Linked DNA regions of Elephas maximus indicus. The protein of the gene in region 1 purifies or fractionates together with the protein of each later gene. This does not show direct contact. Links are inferred from orthologs where the notes say so. Each region holds a gene or a part of one and is shown in the gene's direction. Other genes may lie near its edges.

What was found. The genes of interacting proteins can lie anywhere in the genome.
Region 2: the proteins of HDAC4 (region 1) and RUNX2 purify together in Homo sapiens (affinity purification with western blotting; 3 studies listed by BioGRID). This does not show direct contact. The link is inferred for Elephas maximus indicus from reciprocal best matches to the Homo sapiens genes HDAC4 and RUNX2.

The regions. Positions count from the first base shown.
Region 1 is NC_064824.1:141,302,117-141,310,522, reverse strand, and holds the start of HDAC4 (histone deacetylase 4), read left to right. Parts: upstream 1-4,947; 5' UTR 4,948-5,451; coding exon 5,452-5,599; intron 5,600-8,406. UniProt on the Homo sapiens protein: Responsible for the deacetylation of lysine residues on the N-terminal part of the core histones (H2A, H2B, H3 and H4).
Region 2 is NC_064819.1:109,903,707-109,911,942, forward strand, and holds the start of RUNX2 (runt-related transcription factor 2), read left to right. Parts: upstream 1-5,132; 5' UTR 5,133-5,147; coding exon 5,148-5,205; intron 5,206-8,236. UniProt on the Homo sapiens protein: Transcription factor involved in osteoblastic differentiation and skeletal morphogenesis. Essential for the maturation of osteoblasts and both intramembranous and endochondral ossification.

The DNA.
Region 1 (8,406 bases):
ACCTGGCAGAGAACCACAGCTTGAATTGTGTCGCCCAAAAGGTACGTCCAGGTCTGGACCCTGCACCTGTGCCACGTTTGGAAAGAGGGTCTTTGACGATGCTGCCAGTTAACTTGAGGTCGAACTGGAGGAAGGTGGGCCCTAACCCCTTCTGAGTGGGGTCTGACAGAAGAGGAGAGGAAACATGGAGACAGGCAGACAGACAGACATAAAGTCCAGGAGGCCATGTGAAGATAGAGGCTGAGGTGGGGGTGACGCAGCCACAAGCCCAGGGACGCCTGCGTCACCAGCAGCTGAGCAATAAGGAAGGACCTTCCCTCAGAGCCTCTGGAGAGCACGACCCTGCCGTCGCCTTAAGTTCAGACTCCTGGCCTTCGAGCTGCCACAGAACATGCCTCTGTTGTTCTGTGCCACCTACTTTGTGGTGCTTTGTTTCGGCGGCCCTCGCAGACCGATACAGTGGCTATGTAGGCTGTCTTGGCCACTTAGTGCATCCTTTCCCAGTGTGATTTTCTTTTTTTTTGGTAGTACGTGTCAGCGCTGTTGGGATCTGTTACAGCCACGATTGGGGGTTGGTTTTCAATTCCTCCTGACAGAGGTTCCTTCTCTCGTCAGTGGCTTGTTGATTAAGACGGAGGTGAGCAGTACCAGTGACCGCAGCTTCTCCTCCAGGGCCTCAGGTCCCAGGCGCCGCTTCCCGGGGCAGGCAGCCAGCAGAGTGAAGCTGCAGGTTAGACACCACCGTGCCAGTGGGCATCTTCTTCTGGTGTGGGGAGGGGGAGAGCTGTGGAGGGCACGTGCACTACGGGCCATGTCGTGGATGGTGTCCCCACTCTGTAAACCCGGGGAGGCAGCCCCTGTGGCATTGGGATGGTACAGCAGGTGGAGCCTGCCGCCTGAGTCAGGACAGCCGCGTTGTTGCCGTGTGGCCCTGAGAACACTGTCTGAGCCTCTGAGCCTCTGTGGTGTTGTTGGGCAGCGGAGCTGATGCCAGCTTGTGGGTTGCTGGGAGATGTGAGAACTGCTGGGACAGCCAGTGGGCACAGGTAGGCTCCCAGGGTTCGCGCTGGTGAGTCTTTCAGTTGGGGGCTCCAGGGGACATGTGGAGAAGGTGCCATTGGGGCAGTCCCTCTGTGCTCACTTGTCCTCGGCTTTTCCCAAAGTGCACTGCTTAGCTGGGCCTGTGGTCACACGTGCCTGGGCCTGCAGTGTTGGATGGCCACCACGTGTGTACTCCCCAGCTTGCTCGGGCTCCCAGAGGGCCAGTCCCTGGCCGAGAGCTCTTGGGCCGGCAGTGACCACAGAGGCTTCTGTGCAGGGGCAAGGCTGAGGGGCCCTGCCTGGAGATGGGTAAGCAAAGTCCTCATCCCACCCTGCATCACCCAGGGCTTAGTGAGAGAAAGGCTGTCCCAGAGGGAGCCGCAGTGGTGTCCTGACCAAGCCCTGCACCTGGCCTGCAGGACATGGTGGCGCCTCTCCTTGGGGACCTGCCCCCAGGCCTCGGCTCGCAGCTCCATCCTGGTGTTTGCAAGCAAGGCCCGTGCCCTGGGGCTTCGGGGGTGCCATTCCCTCTCTTTATTCTGGAGCATACACCACCCCAGCCTACCATGTAGGAAAGCTGTCTGAGGTAGGACTGTGGCAGTGCCCCGGCCATGGCACGGGCATGGGAGCCTTCCTGGGGGCTTCCCCATTGGTGCTGGGGGAGACGGCCTGCCTCATCTGGTGGCTTAGCCAGTGGGGTGCAGGTGTAGGAGCTGCGGCCTCCATTGTGGGTGCAGAGGAAGAGGAAGGAGGGGTGAGAGACAGGTGGGTGGCCATCACTGGCCCTCTGGCTTTTGACCTTTGGTGGTCCCCTAGGCTCCTGAGTGAAGAGGCTACCAGGGGCCCCTTCTCAGGAGCAGTAGGGGAGCTGGGGAAGAGCATTTGAGCTGCTCTCACTCCCCAGGAGCGGAATTTGCTTTTCCATCATCTCTCACCACCTCTCAGCCACGTTCTGGGCTTGGGCTGGAATCTCCCCACCCCGCTGGTTTAGACACATGTGGCTGATGCTGACGTGTGTCCGCCAGGCTTACAAACCTTGATTTGCCTTTATGGGAGGGGTGGGATCCTTTTCTTTGGTTTGACTGCTCAGGACTGATACCCTCAGAGAGCAGGGCCAGCGCCGAGCAGGCGCACGGTGGACAGAAGTGCGGTAACCTCCCAGGGGTGGGAAACCAGCCTGTCTCAGGCTGAAAGGCCGCAGGCATCACCCTAGGGTTTGGAAGGGTGCTCATAGCAGGTGACAGGATGATGGCTCCGTGCTGGCTGAAGAATGTGGCTCAGACAGGCTGACGTCAGCTTTGTCCTAGGGCTTGTCACTGGATGTGGATGCCACCTAAGTCAGAGGCCAGGCTGTGGAGACAGGGTTCAGCATTTCATCCTGTGTCTCTTTTAGAGGAAGGGTGTTGGCATGGTGATGAGGGCCACCTTCAATGGTTCCTGGGCCCAGTGCGCCTGGCTGTGGACATCTGTGCAGTGACACGAGCACTGCTTGCTACCCCTTCCCATGGGCCCTGCTTTAACTCCATCAGCACAACAGGAAGAGAACACACATGTCTGCAGAGAGGGACCCAGCTTAGGGAAGTGATGTTCCAGGCTACTAAATGAAAAACAAACAAACAAACAAAAAAACAAACCCATTGCCATCAAGTCGATTCCGACTGATAGCGACCCTGTAGGACAGAGTAGAACTGCCCCATAAGGTTTCCAAGGAACGCCTGGTGGATTCAAACTGCAGATTTTGGTTAGCAGCTATAGCTTTTAACCACTATGCTGCCAGGGTTTCCAAAGGAGTCCCCATATAGTTCTACTGGGGCTTGAACCCAGGACCTTCTGCGTGTAAAGCAGACGTGATAACTGCTACACTATGGAATTGCTTAAATGAAAGGGTATGTTAAAGGATGAAGAAGAGTTGCCTGTTGGTTGAGGGTGTCCAGCTGGCTGGGTGGCATGTGGGGCCTGAGTTTGGAGGGTCTGTACACTCTCGGGCGTGCTCTGTGAAGCCAGCTCGGCTCTGAGCCCTGTCCTTGTGCGTACGCTGGCTCAGCCTTCAGTGTCCAGGTCCTCCTTTGTTTTGGGCACCTGTCTGCTGATGCCACCTGCACCTTTGCCTTCTCACCCTGTAAGGGCCAGAGAGAAGGGCATAACCAAGCTCCTAGTGACGGGCAGCCGCTGGCTGCCCGTGTCCTGGTGTATGCTCTCCATCTGCTCCGAAGTTCCACCCCACACTGCCCGCAGGACTCAAGCTAAGTGGCATCTCCTAGCGAGGACTTCCCTCCACCCAAGCCTCGTGTTCTTGGTGGGCAGTACTCTCTCCTGTAGATAAACTTTCATTCTTGTTGAGTGCCGCACGTGCATGGCTTTTCCTCAGTGAGCATCCCCAGGCCCTGGTTCAGGAGGAGAGTCAGCTGACCACCACGCTGGCTCTGGAGTTGAGTGTGCTCTCACAGAGCCCTGGACCACTGTGGGGCTTGGGCTCCCACCCACGTCGGGGACAAGAACTGGCCCCAGGTCCGTGGACGCTTCGGTTTCCCCCTCATCCGTCGGCCCTCATGCTCCAGGGCATCAGTAAGGAGATGTTGTCAGAGGCCTGTCTCTCACGGATGGAACTGTTCACTTGGCTGAAATGATTGCTCTGGACTGTGCGCCCCGGGGTTTCGCTTCTGACCACCTGCCGCATGTGACACCTAAGGTACCTGGCTCCTCAGGTCGTCACTGCCACTGTGGGAGCAGGCTGTCTTGACTGAAGACAGTGGCCACTCGTACATGGAATGCTACTCAGCCGTGAAGAGCGAATGAACCTGTGCTGAGCAGGGCAGTGGATGCTTGCACACGGGATGCTTCTCGTGTGGGATGCTGCCGATGTGTGGAATACCACTCAGACGTGGGAAGCAGCACACACGTGGGACGCCGCCCACGGGTGAAACGCCGCGCACACGTGGGACGCCACTCACGGGTGGAACGCCGCACACACGTGGGACGCCACTCACGGGTGGAACGCCGCGCACACGTGGGACGCCACTCACGGGTGGAACGCCGCTCCCACGTGGGACGCCACTCACGGGTGGAACGCCGCGCACACGTGGGACGCCACTCACGGGTGGAACGCCGCGCACACGTGGGACGCCACTCACAGGTGGAATACTGTGCATATGTGGGACACCACTCGTGGAATACTGCTCACACGTGGGACACCACTCACAGGTGGAATGTCGCTCACACGTGAGACGCCACTCACGGGTGGAATACTGCTCACACGTGGGACGCCGCTCACGGGTGGAATACTGCTCAATGTGGGACACCACTCATAGGTGGAATACTACCCACATGTGGGACACCACTCATAGGTGGAACACCATTCTCAGGTGGGACACCATTCACAGGTGGAATACTGCTCACACGTGGGATGCCACTCACACGTGGAATGCAGCTCACATGTGGGACACCACTCACACGTGGAATACTGCTCACATGTGGGACGCCGCTCACGTGTGGGGCGTCCCTCATGCATGGGACACTGCTCACATGTGGGATGCTGCTCCCATGTGTGACAGTGCTCACACGTGGGATCCCACTGAGCTGTGAAGAAAAATGAAGTCCTGATACATGCCACAACACAGATAACCTTATTCTGAGCAGGATGATGGCTGATCACGGAGCTCCAGGCTCCTGCCTGATGCTGGCTGGCAGTGGCGACCTGGGCCAACCCCTCCCCCGTGCCTTCAGAGGCAGCTGGTGGTATGTCTGGGAGCAGCTTCAGGAGTGCGCCAAGGGGCTGCGTGTTTCCACGTTGGCCATTGCAACATCATAGCCTGCAGTGCACGCTGGAATGTCCTACTAAACAACAACTGCCCTTACAGCTTCCCAACTAAGCTGGGGGTGGGGTGGGTAGGGCGCTTTCTTCCCAGATAAGGCTCCTCAAGTTCCTGGAATGCTTACGCCTGGGGTGGAGAAACCCTACATGACTTGAACTCTTCTTCACACGTAAGTCCCCCACGTCCCGTCCGCCGCACAGACGCCCGGCCCTTTCTGGTTGCGATCATGCAGTCAGTCAGTCCAGCCCGGAAGTGCAGTTCCCCACATCTTCTACAGCTAACAAACACCTCACTTCAGGTGCCCTAAAATCAAATTCAGGCTGCGGAGAGGTTATAGTGCTCTCAAACTTGTACGTGGAAGCAGAGGGAGAGAACTGGCCTTGTAAATGAGCGAGTGCCCCAGAAGGCGGTGCCTTGCTCCTGACCTCCAGGGCACTTGAGGTGCGAGCTGGTGGGAGCTTGGGCGACATGGCCCCGCACAAAATCGGGTTTGGCAGAACGCTCACTCATGGGCCGGAAAGTAAACAGTGGTGTCGAGCCTTCTGCGTGAGCCCGTGTATCATCTGCTTGTTATGTAATCTGACAACACGGGTATGAAATGGAAACCAGATGTCAGGGCGGAGCGCTGGAATTCTTCAGCCGTGAGTGCCGGGAGGCGGGTGTGAGTTTGCTTCTCTGTGAAGGCCCAGCAGCTCTGGGAGGGCAGGCTGGAGGGTCCTGGGAGCCAAGCAGACGTCTCGGAGAAGGTAAAGTATGAACCCGGAGTCTTTTGAAAAACGTGTGCCGCTGCTCTGTGCTTGTTACATAGCTGTGCGGGGACTCGGCACGGCGACCTGGTGGCTGGCCGTCTAGAAGCGGCTCAGAGCATGGAAACTCGGCGAGGGGCCCCTGGCATCCTGCTACTGATGGCTGGTCGCAGGGCCTGGGTTTAGAGTGAGAGGGGCATGGACGGGCACGTGCCGTTTCTCTGGTGGTGGCTGGGTTGTGTGGTGGGAGGGGTGGAAGCGCGTCATTTCGGCGCTCGCTCCTGCACACGTGCAGCTGTGGCGATAGTGGCTCCTGGCGCACAGCAGACCACAGTGCTGGGGCGCCCAGAGGCAGGGACTTGGGATTCTGCTGTGGCCAAGCCCCCTGCCAGTGGCCCTGTGGGTGCCAGAGGGTGACTGCATCTCCTCTCCTGGCCTGGCCCCTCTCGTGCTCTGTGGAACGCCCTGGGATGTGGGTCCTTGACTTGCCACATTCACGCCTTTCTGATCTAGAAAATCAGACTCACCGAGATCAGGAGCAGAGCGCCTCACCTGCTGAAGCAATGGCTAGCCACAGTGGTAGTTCCATATTTGATCTCAACTAAAACCCCAAGTGTCTCTGCTGTGGTAGCCGAGGTTTCACATCTACAGACCCCTTACTTTGCTCATATCCTCCTCTGGGAACCCTACGGGGCCGTGACCCTGTACTCCTGTTAATGCCATGCCGAATTCTTAGACACCACTCGGGTTATCCGTCCGTCCTGTTTCATTAGGCACCCAGCTCGGGGGCCAGAGGAGATCTGTGGCTCCTTCTGATCCCCTGGGTTTCCAGCTTTCTTACCTGTAAAACGATAGCTGACGAGTCTGGGGTGCTTTCTGCATGCTGGGCCTGTGCACAAAGTGTGTTAGTGCAATTTGTTACGTGATTCTCAAAACACACCCTGGAAGTAGGTGCCTTTGGGACACCATTTTACAGCAGGGAGAACTGAGGCCCAGGCAGGTTGAACGACTGGCTGAGGGTCCCACTGTTCGGGGGCTGTGCTGGCTTTGCACCCAGGCAGCATGCCCCAGAGCCACCGTGCGGCATGTCTCTGGTCTCTCCTGGCTTGTAGTTCTGGGTCCCTTGCTTCAGGGTGGACGAGGGCACTTCACCGTGCTTGCCGGTGGCCTTTGGGTGTCCAGTTTGGAGGAACCCCAGTGCCGGGGAAAGTGTAGTCCTGACGTGGGCGTGCTCCAGTCTGCAGTCCTAAGTCCTGGGCGATGTTACGCCACATGGTGACCCCGGGAAAAAGATTTGATGTGCTCCTGCGCCCTTGCTCCATTTTGCTTGTTCCGAAAGGGAACTAAAAACAAACCCAGCCCACACCGTTGGGTCAGACGGAATGTGGGAGTCAGAGACTTATCTAAGTGGAATTTCTCTTGGAGCCTTTCCTTGATCCAGAGTTGTCCTTAATGTTTTGAAAAGCACGTTAGAGATACCAGGCATGCTGAGAGGCCTGGGCGGCCACTGCTGTTCTGTGCATGAGAGGTGGGACTGCACAGACCGTCCAGAGGACACATCTGTCTGTCTTTGTGACCACCAACCCCCTCGGGCCTTGGGCAGGGTCCCAGCGGTTGGGCTGGAGCCGGGGTAGGAGGCCCCATGTGGGGATCCTTGACCTTGGAACCCCCACTCCCCATGGCATCACTTGGGAGGCTGCTGCCTGGGGAGATTTGGGCTCTGCATCCCCATGGTTCTAAATAACACCGCTTCTTGCTTCTGGACACACTCCGTCTGTCCCGAGGTCCTTCCCGCCCTGGGTGGCCATCGGGGTGCAGCCCCAGGCCTTGGGCTGGGCACCAGTGTACTTTCTCTTGCTGAATCGCTCCTGCCCGGGGCCACATGGTGGCAGGATCCAAAGTGGGGCACCCCTCATCTATTGATGGGGGTCGCCTGCGGGACCCTTGAGGCGGGGGGGTGGGGCCACTTGCTTTGCTCTTGCCACCCCCCACCCCGCCTTTATCTGCGTTTAAAAATAGGCAGGCCTGGTGCCAGGCCCAGGCTGAAGGCCACTTCTTGCCAGCCCCGAGGTGATAGGGCTGCACAGGGGGTGGAGTGAGCCAGGAGTACAGGGTGGGGGTGGCCCTCAAGGGCCCGCGGAGCCACCCAAGGCGGCCTATGGAAGTCGAGTGAGGCATCTGAGTACTTCTTTTAAATGAAGACATCTTATCCCACTTCTTTTTTGCACTGTAGTCGGGAAGGTCATGAACTGGAGTGTCAGCAGCACCAGGCCAGGTGTGCCTTGCAGAGAGGCCTAATGAGAACACGGGCGTGTGTAATGCAGGACCCTTGGAGTTTGGGTCAGGGATCAGAGCAGTGCCAAGGCTCAGCGGTGATACCTCAGCGCTTGGTCGGGAGCCTGGCCTCGGTGGCCTTTGGGTTTCCTGGCGCTAAGTGGGCAGTCTTGTCCCCTGCTGTAGTCGCTGGCATGCGAGCTGATATCGGGGCCTCACATACCAGATGATGGCCGGGTCAGCCCCTCAAGTCACCAAAACAGCCTACTGTGTTTCTGCCCTCTGGGTGTATGAGAAGATGGGGAGAGATGGAAAAGAAGTTGAAATCAGGGACTTCTTTACAAAAGCGACTTCCCAGGGAGAAGCTGGGGCAGCTTTCTACCCAGATGCATCGTTCACTTCTAGAAGCAAGACTCAGGTTGGCAGCATGCTCTGAGGTCTTGAATTATCCAATGCTCACTCAGACATATCGATTCTCATGTGTTAAGCAGGCAGTCTAGAGCGCCAAGAATAACTCCAACTGTGGGGAAGCA
Region 2 (8,236 bases), on another chromosome or scaffold:
TTGAAAAGAAATATGCCTCAGAGGACAATTCAAGCCTCCTCTCCCCCAAACCTGGCAATAAAAGACAACTTTAAAAAAAAAAAATGTAAAGAAATACTACACCTGGCTATGTAAAAGATTTAGATAATCACAATGAATATCTCGACATTTATTTTTCCTACTAGATGACTAACCCCACTTAATACCGAAACAACGTAACTGAAAAAGAGAGTGGTGTCCTTTTGTTCCTTTTCCAGAAGTTAATACCCAAAAACGTTTTCATTATGAGACAGTTTCCCCTACAACCAAGTCCCATAGCACAAACTCTGTGACAAAGTTTCGGCTGAGCTCCAACGTGCTATGATGTCCCAGTTTCATTTACTATATTCTGTAAGTACAAAAGTTCTAAAAAGATTAGTTTCACTTTTCCCTAGATATATTTAGTATCATTAACTAGCATAGTTGGGATATTATTTTTCTTTGGTTTTGTCAGTAGCATGTTTGATATAAATTTTATTAAGTGGTAGTGTATGTAACATTGCATTGTGGGTAGTAGTTTCCTGCTTTAGCCTAGCCACATCCTCAGCTGTCATACGAGCATGTTTCCCATATTTTCTGCAAGTTCTCGCCTTTTTTTTTCCTACTTGCGGAAATGACAGCATTAGAAGATGAATTGTCCCAATAATTATAAGAAACATAAATTACTTATATGGCTATATTAAACAAGTATGGATCACTCTGCACTTCAAAGTACAGTCAGAGAAAAAAGAAACAAAAACTAATCTCATAATTAAAGTGTTAATGACACATGAAGCAACGTGCTAAAGCAAAATAACATAAAGGAAGGATTCAAGGACCAAGTGAAAACAATTAAAAGAAAGAAAATCTTTGTAGACAGAAGCCAACACAATGCCCACACACGCCTAACAAATGAGGTATAATATATCAGAACGTAACAATAAGTTGCAATGAATGTTATGAGCTTCTAACCTGCTAGGTATTCATTAGAAGGATTAATGTCAATATCCCTTACTAGAATTTTAAGAATCTACTTTGAGACTTTATAAAAAAGTCAGAGAAAAGAGAAACAAACAAACAAAAAGGCCGAAGTACAGTGAAGGGGGAGAGAGAACAGAAAGTTAGTTTAGTACTTTCTCTTTTGGCATCCAATTTCCACATAATCTCACATTTAAACTGAGATTAACAATTAACCAAGTCAAACGGTTCAAACAATCAAGGAAATGGTGATGCTTTGGGATTTTATAAATTTAATTAAAATAGAAACAAAAAATACTCCCATAAAAATTGCTACAAAGCATCGCCCTACGCACAACCACCACCACACACGTGTGTGCAGTTCTGTATGCAGGCATACACCTCACTAAAATAAGGAAATGGAATTAATCTCTTGTAATCATAATTTAAAATACTAACAAAACTATACTTATTTTACTAATATAAAAAATTTACAAGGCATCAATATAAGGCCCAATAAATGCTATGTAAGTTTGAGCAGCTATATATCAAAAATAAAAATAAAAAATAAACTGTCACATACCAAATTGAAACAATAAATTAAAAAACTTTTGCGAAAACCTCATAATCAGTGAGAACATATTAAGCCAAATTAAGACTCCTATAGTTTATAAAATTCCCACATCAAGGCTTCTGCTCCTATTGTTTTCAATTAAAAGAAAAAGACACTGGTGACAAATAGAACTCTAACACAATCCTAAAAACAGATAAACAAAAAGCACGGAAACAAGAACGATATTGGTAAAGGAAAAGTAGTGTATTAAAATACTATCGTTAGTTCAGGAAAAAAATTCAAATGGTAACAATGAAGACATACGTAGCACTTAAAGCAGTTTATAATGTATTATTTGTAAACGTTTTGGTATCTTAAAAATTTCAACCAATTCTGACAACGTTTATTAAATACAAAGTAATGGGGAAGCAAGACACTAACTTTTTGACTTTTTGCAGTAAGCTGTATCTCATTTCCGTAACATTAAAGAACATAATTTACACAGTAGACCTAAACTTGCTGCTTACTTAAACATAGCAGATGCTAACATACCTCCAGCAGGATGAAGTTGTGAAGGTCTTAAAAAACAAACAAACAAAAAAAGTCCTGTGGTTTTCATTTGTGATTACAAACATGGATACAAATCTATAATCAAGAGGTTTATTTGCACATTAGCTTTTCTGAATCAATCTCTCTTCATCACACGTAACAAGCTATTTTGAATGAAACAAACTGTCAATTATCAAATGCGTACCAGTTATCAGTGTTGTTTTAAAATTTCTACCACAAAAAAAGATATATTTTCAATTTAGGAAAAAAAAATTATGTGTGGATAATAAATATGCAAACTTTAAAACACATAATTTCGCTATCTTTCTCCTGCCAGGCTGTGATCGGCCTCACGCAAGACCAAAAGGAAAGGACCTATTAAACAATATCTACCAAACTCTTCTGCATTGAGTGATGATTCTGACCCAAAGATTTTGTGCAGGAGGGTAACCTGCAATAAGAGAACAAGTAATTAGAAGGCACATTGATGTTAAAAATTACTCCAGTTTTCATGGACCAAAGTATACATAAGACAAAAAGAAAATAAGGAAGAAAATACTCAGCAAAAAGTTGGGGTTGTCTGAATGTCAGAGAACCCTGATGCATAAACAAAAACCTTATCCTAAAGGAAGAAAATCATTTACTTATCAAACTACAGCAGTTACCCAAAATTTTCAATTGCCTCACTCTGCTATTACATGTGCAGAAGAGTTTAAACTTCCATAAATTATGAACAAAACCCTTCTTTTATTTACTTTAGATACTAATTAGATATATAGATCATACCAGCACCTTATTTATGAAATAGAATACCCAAATAATTTATTTTCTCCCTTTTACGTGAATAAGTGTGTTAAATGAAAATTGTTGCTTCTCGATATAAAACCTGATTATACACAAAATCAGCAGGATAAATATGTGCTTAAAAGAAATCATTAAAATGTATGAAAAAGCTCTGGACATTTGAAAAAGAGATTAAAATAATTCCTGTGTCATCCCAGCATGTTTTGGACAAATCAAAAATTTTTGTAAAGAAATTTATGGACATATTTGTACAGCAATAGCAGATAATGAACTGTGCTAAGAACACCACGTGCAGGGGTATTTTAGCTCTAACACCCTCCTGAGTATTTCCCCAGCCCTTATTATCCCATTGTACACCCCCAAAAATGTTTTGTAACTCACTGTCTCCGCCCATTCTCCAAGTCATTGACTTCACGCCACTCCTAGTTACTATCACACTAGGAAGAAGTCTAACAACTGAACACACGCAAGTTCAGTGTGGCGTGGATAAATCGCAAAAATGCCTAGAAAATTGGTATGTTCGGCTTTATAATTTTTGTTGAAAAATACCCCTCGCTCTCAATTGATGAAAACAGGAAGCCCTATTCATAAATATAAATTTCACTGCCTATGATATACAATCATCCTAATAAGAAAATGAGTTCTATACATACATGTCCAAAGGGGCAAAAAAGGAGATAGTTTCCCAAAGATGTTTCCAATTTTCTTCTGAATCAGAATTAGCAAATCGAGACGACTAACATACTCTGTCTGTGTGCATTATTCCTCACTACACACAGCATTTTGTAATTTATTTCAAAGCTTCCATTATAAACAAAAAATTCAGCTTCTCTTAACCCACTCCATCCTGAGCATATAAAGTCTAACACTGAACAATCTAAGTCATAATGTAAGTATTTTACTTTATGAATGCATAAGATTTGCTATCAAAGACTCTGTTAAAGTTAATGGCGCCAAATAAACTGAAGAATTCTACAAAATGAATGCATTTCCTTGAAAGATAATAATTGTACTACAAGCATAAAGAAAACTAAGACTCATTCAATAAACTATCTTACAATTCTTGCCATTCATTTTTATAAAACCCTCAAATTAGTTGTGACGTAAAAGTATATGTGATGTTACAGTCAATCTTTATTGTAGAGACGTTGCCATCTAATATTGATAATCCATAAGCTATACAGACATAAATTAATATTTGTAAAGGTATCTCCAGACTAACACTTTCATGACAGCCAATTACAGTCCAGCCCAGCAAGCAGTTCACAACCAGACCTTAAGAAAGGTAAACTTTTTTTTTTTTTACAATGAGTTACAGACTCACAAGTTTAAGAAAAAGAAAAACAGAAGGAATCCAGCCACCCAGCAAATATGAAGCAGACCCCAGAATGTGATACAATCCAAAGATGTAAATTATTGTAAATCATCACTGTTGTTCAGAATTTCGCACAGCCACTTGAGCCAAATTTTGCTCACTCTTCCACAGACACAATAATAAACTAAAAGGAGGAGGCAAAAAAAAAAGGGGGCGGGTGGGGGGGTGGGGTGGTAGGAAGGAAAGAACAGAGTTCTGCTCTACAGATGCTTAACCTTACAGGAGTTTGGGCTCCTTCAGCATTTGTATTCTATCCAAATCCTCATGAGTCACAAAAATTAAAAAGCTATATCCTTCTGGATGCCAGGAAGGGCCTTACCACAAGCCTTTTGTCAGAGAGAGAGAGAGAGAAAGAGAGCAAGAGCAAGGGGGAAAAAGCCACAGTGGTAGGCAGTCCCACTTTACTTTGAGTTCTGTGAGGTCACAAACCACATGATTCTGTCTCTCCAGTAATAGTGCTTGCAAAAAAAAGGAGTTTTAAAGCTTTTGCTTTTTTGGATTGTGTGAATGCTTCATTCGCCTCACAAACAACCACAGAACCACAAGTGCGGTGCAAACTTTCTCCAGGAGGACAGCAAGAAGTCTCTGGTTTTTAAATGGTTAATCTCCGCAGGTCACTACCAGCCACCGAGACCAACAGAGTCAGTGAGTGCTCTCAAACCACAGTCTATGCAGTAATAGTAGGGCCTTCAAATATTTGCTCATTCTCTTTTTGTTTTGTTTCCCTGCTTTTCACATGTTACCAGCGACATAATTTCTTGACAGAAAAAAATAAATAGAAAGTCTATGTACTCCAGGCATACTGTAAAACTAAAACAAGATTTGGGTATGGTTTGTGTTTTCAGTTTAAGGCTACAAGCAGTATTTACAACAGAGGGTACAAGTTCTATCTGAAAAAAAAAAGGAGGGACTATGGCATCAAACAGCCTCTTCAGCACTGTGACACCATGTCAGCAAAACTTCTTTTGGGGTAAGTGTTATCATATTTTAAAATACTATAAGAGATGAACCTGTTAAACATAAAGCTATATGTCTTAGATAAAGTGCTAGCTCTTGAAGGTAACAGTATATTAAAGATCAAAATAATGCTGTATTGTTGCACTAAAATACTAAAAGATGAAATTGCTATACATATTTGCATTTGGCATCTGCCACTTATCTAATTCTCAGAGTAATGGCTTGAAATATTCAAAAATAAGTTACTTCGCATTAATCAAAATGTCTTCTAGAGTTATGGAAATGAGAATGCTAAAACAGTAAAAAGAAACAGCTTAATATTGTCTTTAACCCTCACTGGAATAAAACTAGACACTAAGTTAATCAAAGTATTATAAATTATTGACTCCGGCGGCTCCCAATATTTGAGCAAACTTCAAAAAGGAAGCAATTTTACAAAATAACAGACCACAGAATTATCCCAACATTATGCTCTACCATGCAAAACAGAAATAAGCCTACAGTTAACATTTGAACCAGCTCGACTAAAAGAAATCTATTTACAATTTTAAACTGCTTTATAAGGTATCTGCACAAGTCTATTTCTAAACAGCTTTATAAAACTGAAGCATATATTCAACTGAAATAAAATTATAGGTATACAATAACCATTTTTAAAAGATCTTTACAGTTGCCTAGAATATTAAAAAGTTCAGAGAAGTCTTTAAAAAATTACATGCAATTGTGTTTCCTATATAATTTTATTTTTACATCTAGACACTATTATCCATTTGTAGAACTTGTTATAAACACATAACAAACACTGAAACGTCTAAGATTCTTTTAATCACATTCTTGGACCTACCAAAATGAATACCATTTAGTCTCATGAAAAATAAAGCTCCGTAAGGATACCCTGCTTGATTTAAAAGAGCCATACCTATTAAATCAAGCTGGATTTTAAAACATGCATAATATAATCCCTTAATACCTAATTTCAAGTTAGTGTTGATACAGATATGTAAACTATTTTAACATCTGTCTGCTGCCATGGTATTATAGTAAAAATCTAAGCACTTACAAGATTTTCTTTATGATGTCCAACATGCTCCAACTATAATGCAAGTTTCTAAAATTTTCTTACATCCTTTAAAATAAATCCTTTTGCTGTGTATACCTATATTAACATTGCTTTGTAACTTACAACTAATGATTGGGGTTTCCTTTACTCCTCCTACTTCACACACATTTTAACTGGCTACTACTTGAGGATCAGTCTTAGTTTAGGTCAAAGAGAAATAATTAAATCTGAAGGGGGGAAAAAGGGTTTCTTTTAAACAGCGAGGAAGTGTACTTTGTATATTACAAAAAATGTAAAATTATTGTAGTGACCTCCTCAATAACCATAAGTGGACCCCCTCAGTTATAATGCATACAATAATCACAAATTATTTTTTAAATGTAATGGTGGGTTTTAAGCATTAATCTAAAAACTTCTATATTAAGAGAGCAGAACATAAATACAACTAGACTGTACTACATCTTATAATTACAGCTTATACATGGGAATTTTTAGTCTTATTACCCAAGAGATGAGAGGAAAAAAATGGTTAAAATCATTGTCATATAGAGAGATAACAAAACAGGCATATCAAGCAGTTAATTTTTAACAATATTACTCTATTAAAGAGAAAAAAAAATACACTTTTCTAACTATATTGGGAGCACCACGAGTTCCAGGGAATACTCCAGCACTAGAAGTAAAGCTATTATTATTGACAGAGAGAGTAAGTTAAAATGGTCTTATATTTTCTATCAGGTGTCTTATATTTCCCTGACATTTTAATAACCATTTTTACATTAAGATTTCTGAAATTTGATCAAGTTTCTACACAAGGGATAATAGTGAACTGAGCAGATAAAGGTCATCTTCAATTGCCTGTCATACTTTTGACTAAACATTGCAAGGAATCTTTTTTCTTCTGAAAGGCGGATTTCACTCCCCCTTCTGCCACCACAGTGCCTTAGAGCCTGGATAGAGAACTTAACATGAACCCCCAGACCAACCTAATTACAGGGTGGGCAAGGGACATTATGTATAGGTTATCATCACACTGCAAACATTTTCCCATTCTATAATCTATTTGAAGTCTAAAACTTCACTTCAGGTTTTAAATTCTTATATGATGATTATAACCATCAACAATGAAATGTCAAAAGCACGTGCCCCGGCTTTGTGAAGTAGTTAAAAAGAAAGCTTAGGCTTTTCCTAGGTGAGGGACAAAGCATACCGTTGACTGACAGCCTCTCCTTAAATATAATGAAGTGTGTAGTGCGTGCATGTGTGTGTGTGTGCGCGCGCGCACATGAGAAAGATAAAATCTGTGTCCTTGCTCCTCCAGAATACCATTTACCTTGAATTAATCAATAATTTTCAAAATCTGTGAGCTACTCAAAATGTTATTTATCATAAACAAAAGCTATAGAAAATGATAGATGTGACTCATGTAGTTCTACAATTAAGAACTTATTTATGAAATGGTATCATCTAACTAATTAAATTTCTACATAAAATCTTTGTATCTGACCGTAGTAATTGACTGCAAATGATGTGTGAACACTGATTTCCGAAACAATAGTTGTGGTCCATATTAGTAATAATAGCTTTATACTGTCAAGATTTACTAGTGATAAAGTGTCCTAACTTGCTCCTAAAATAAGAGTGCTACATTCCAAAATAACAGGGAAAAGAATTAAAAAGTCAAGAACATAATGAGAAGGCTACTCTACATATATTAAAAGCTAGCAATGTCAACACAATTCCCAAAAACTTGTATTGTAAATATTTTAATTTATAATAATCCTAATTTTTAAAGAAAAATTGTTCACTTTTAAATTTTAAAAATATTTTAAAATGTCAAAGATTTAAAAGAAATAACAGGGAAAAAATTTTGTTAGTCTGTGTAAATCACAAGAAAGGCGTGAAAGTCTTTAAATCACAAGGAGGGCATGAAATATACATGATTACATTAAGATACATTTTAGCTCTTTTAAAAGAACAAAAA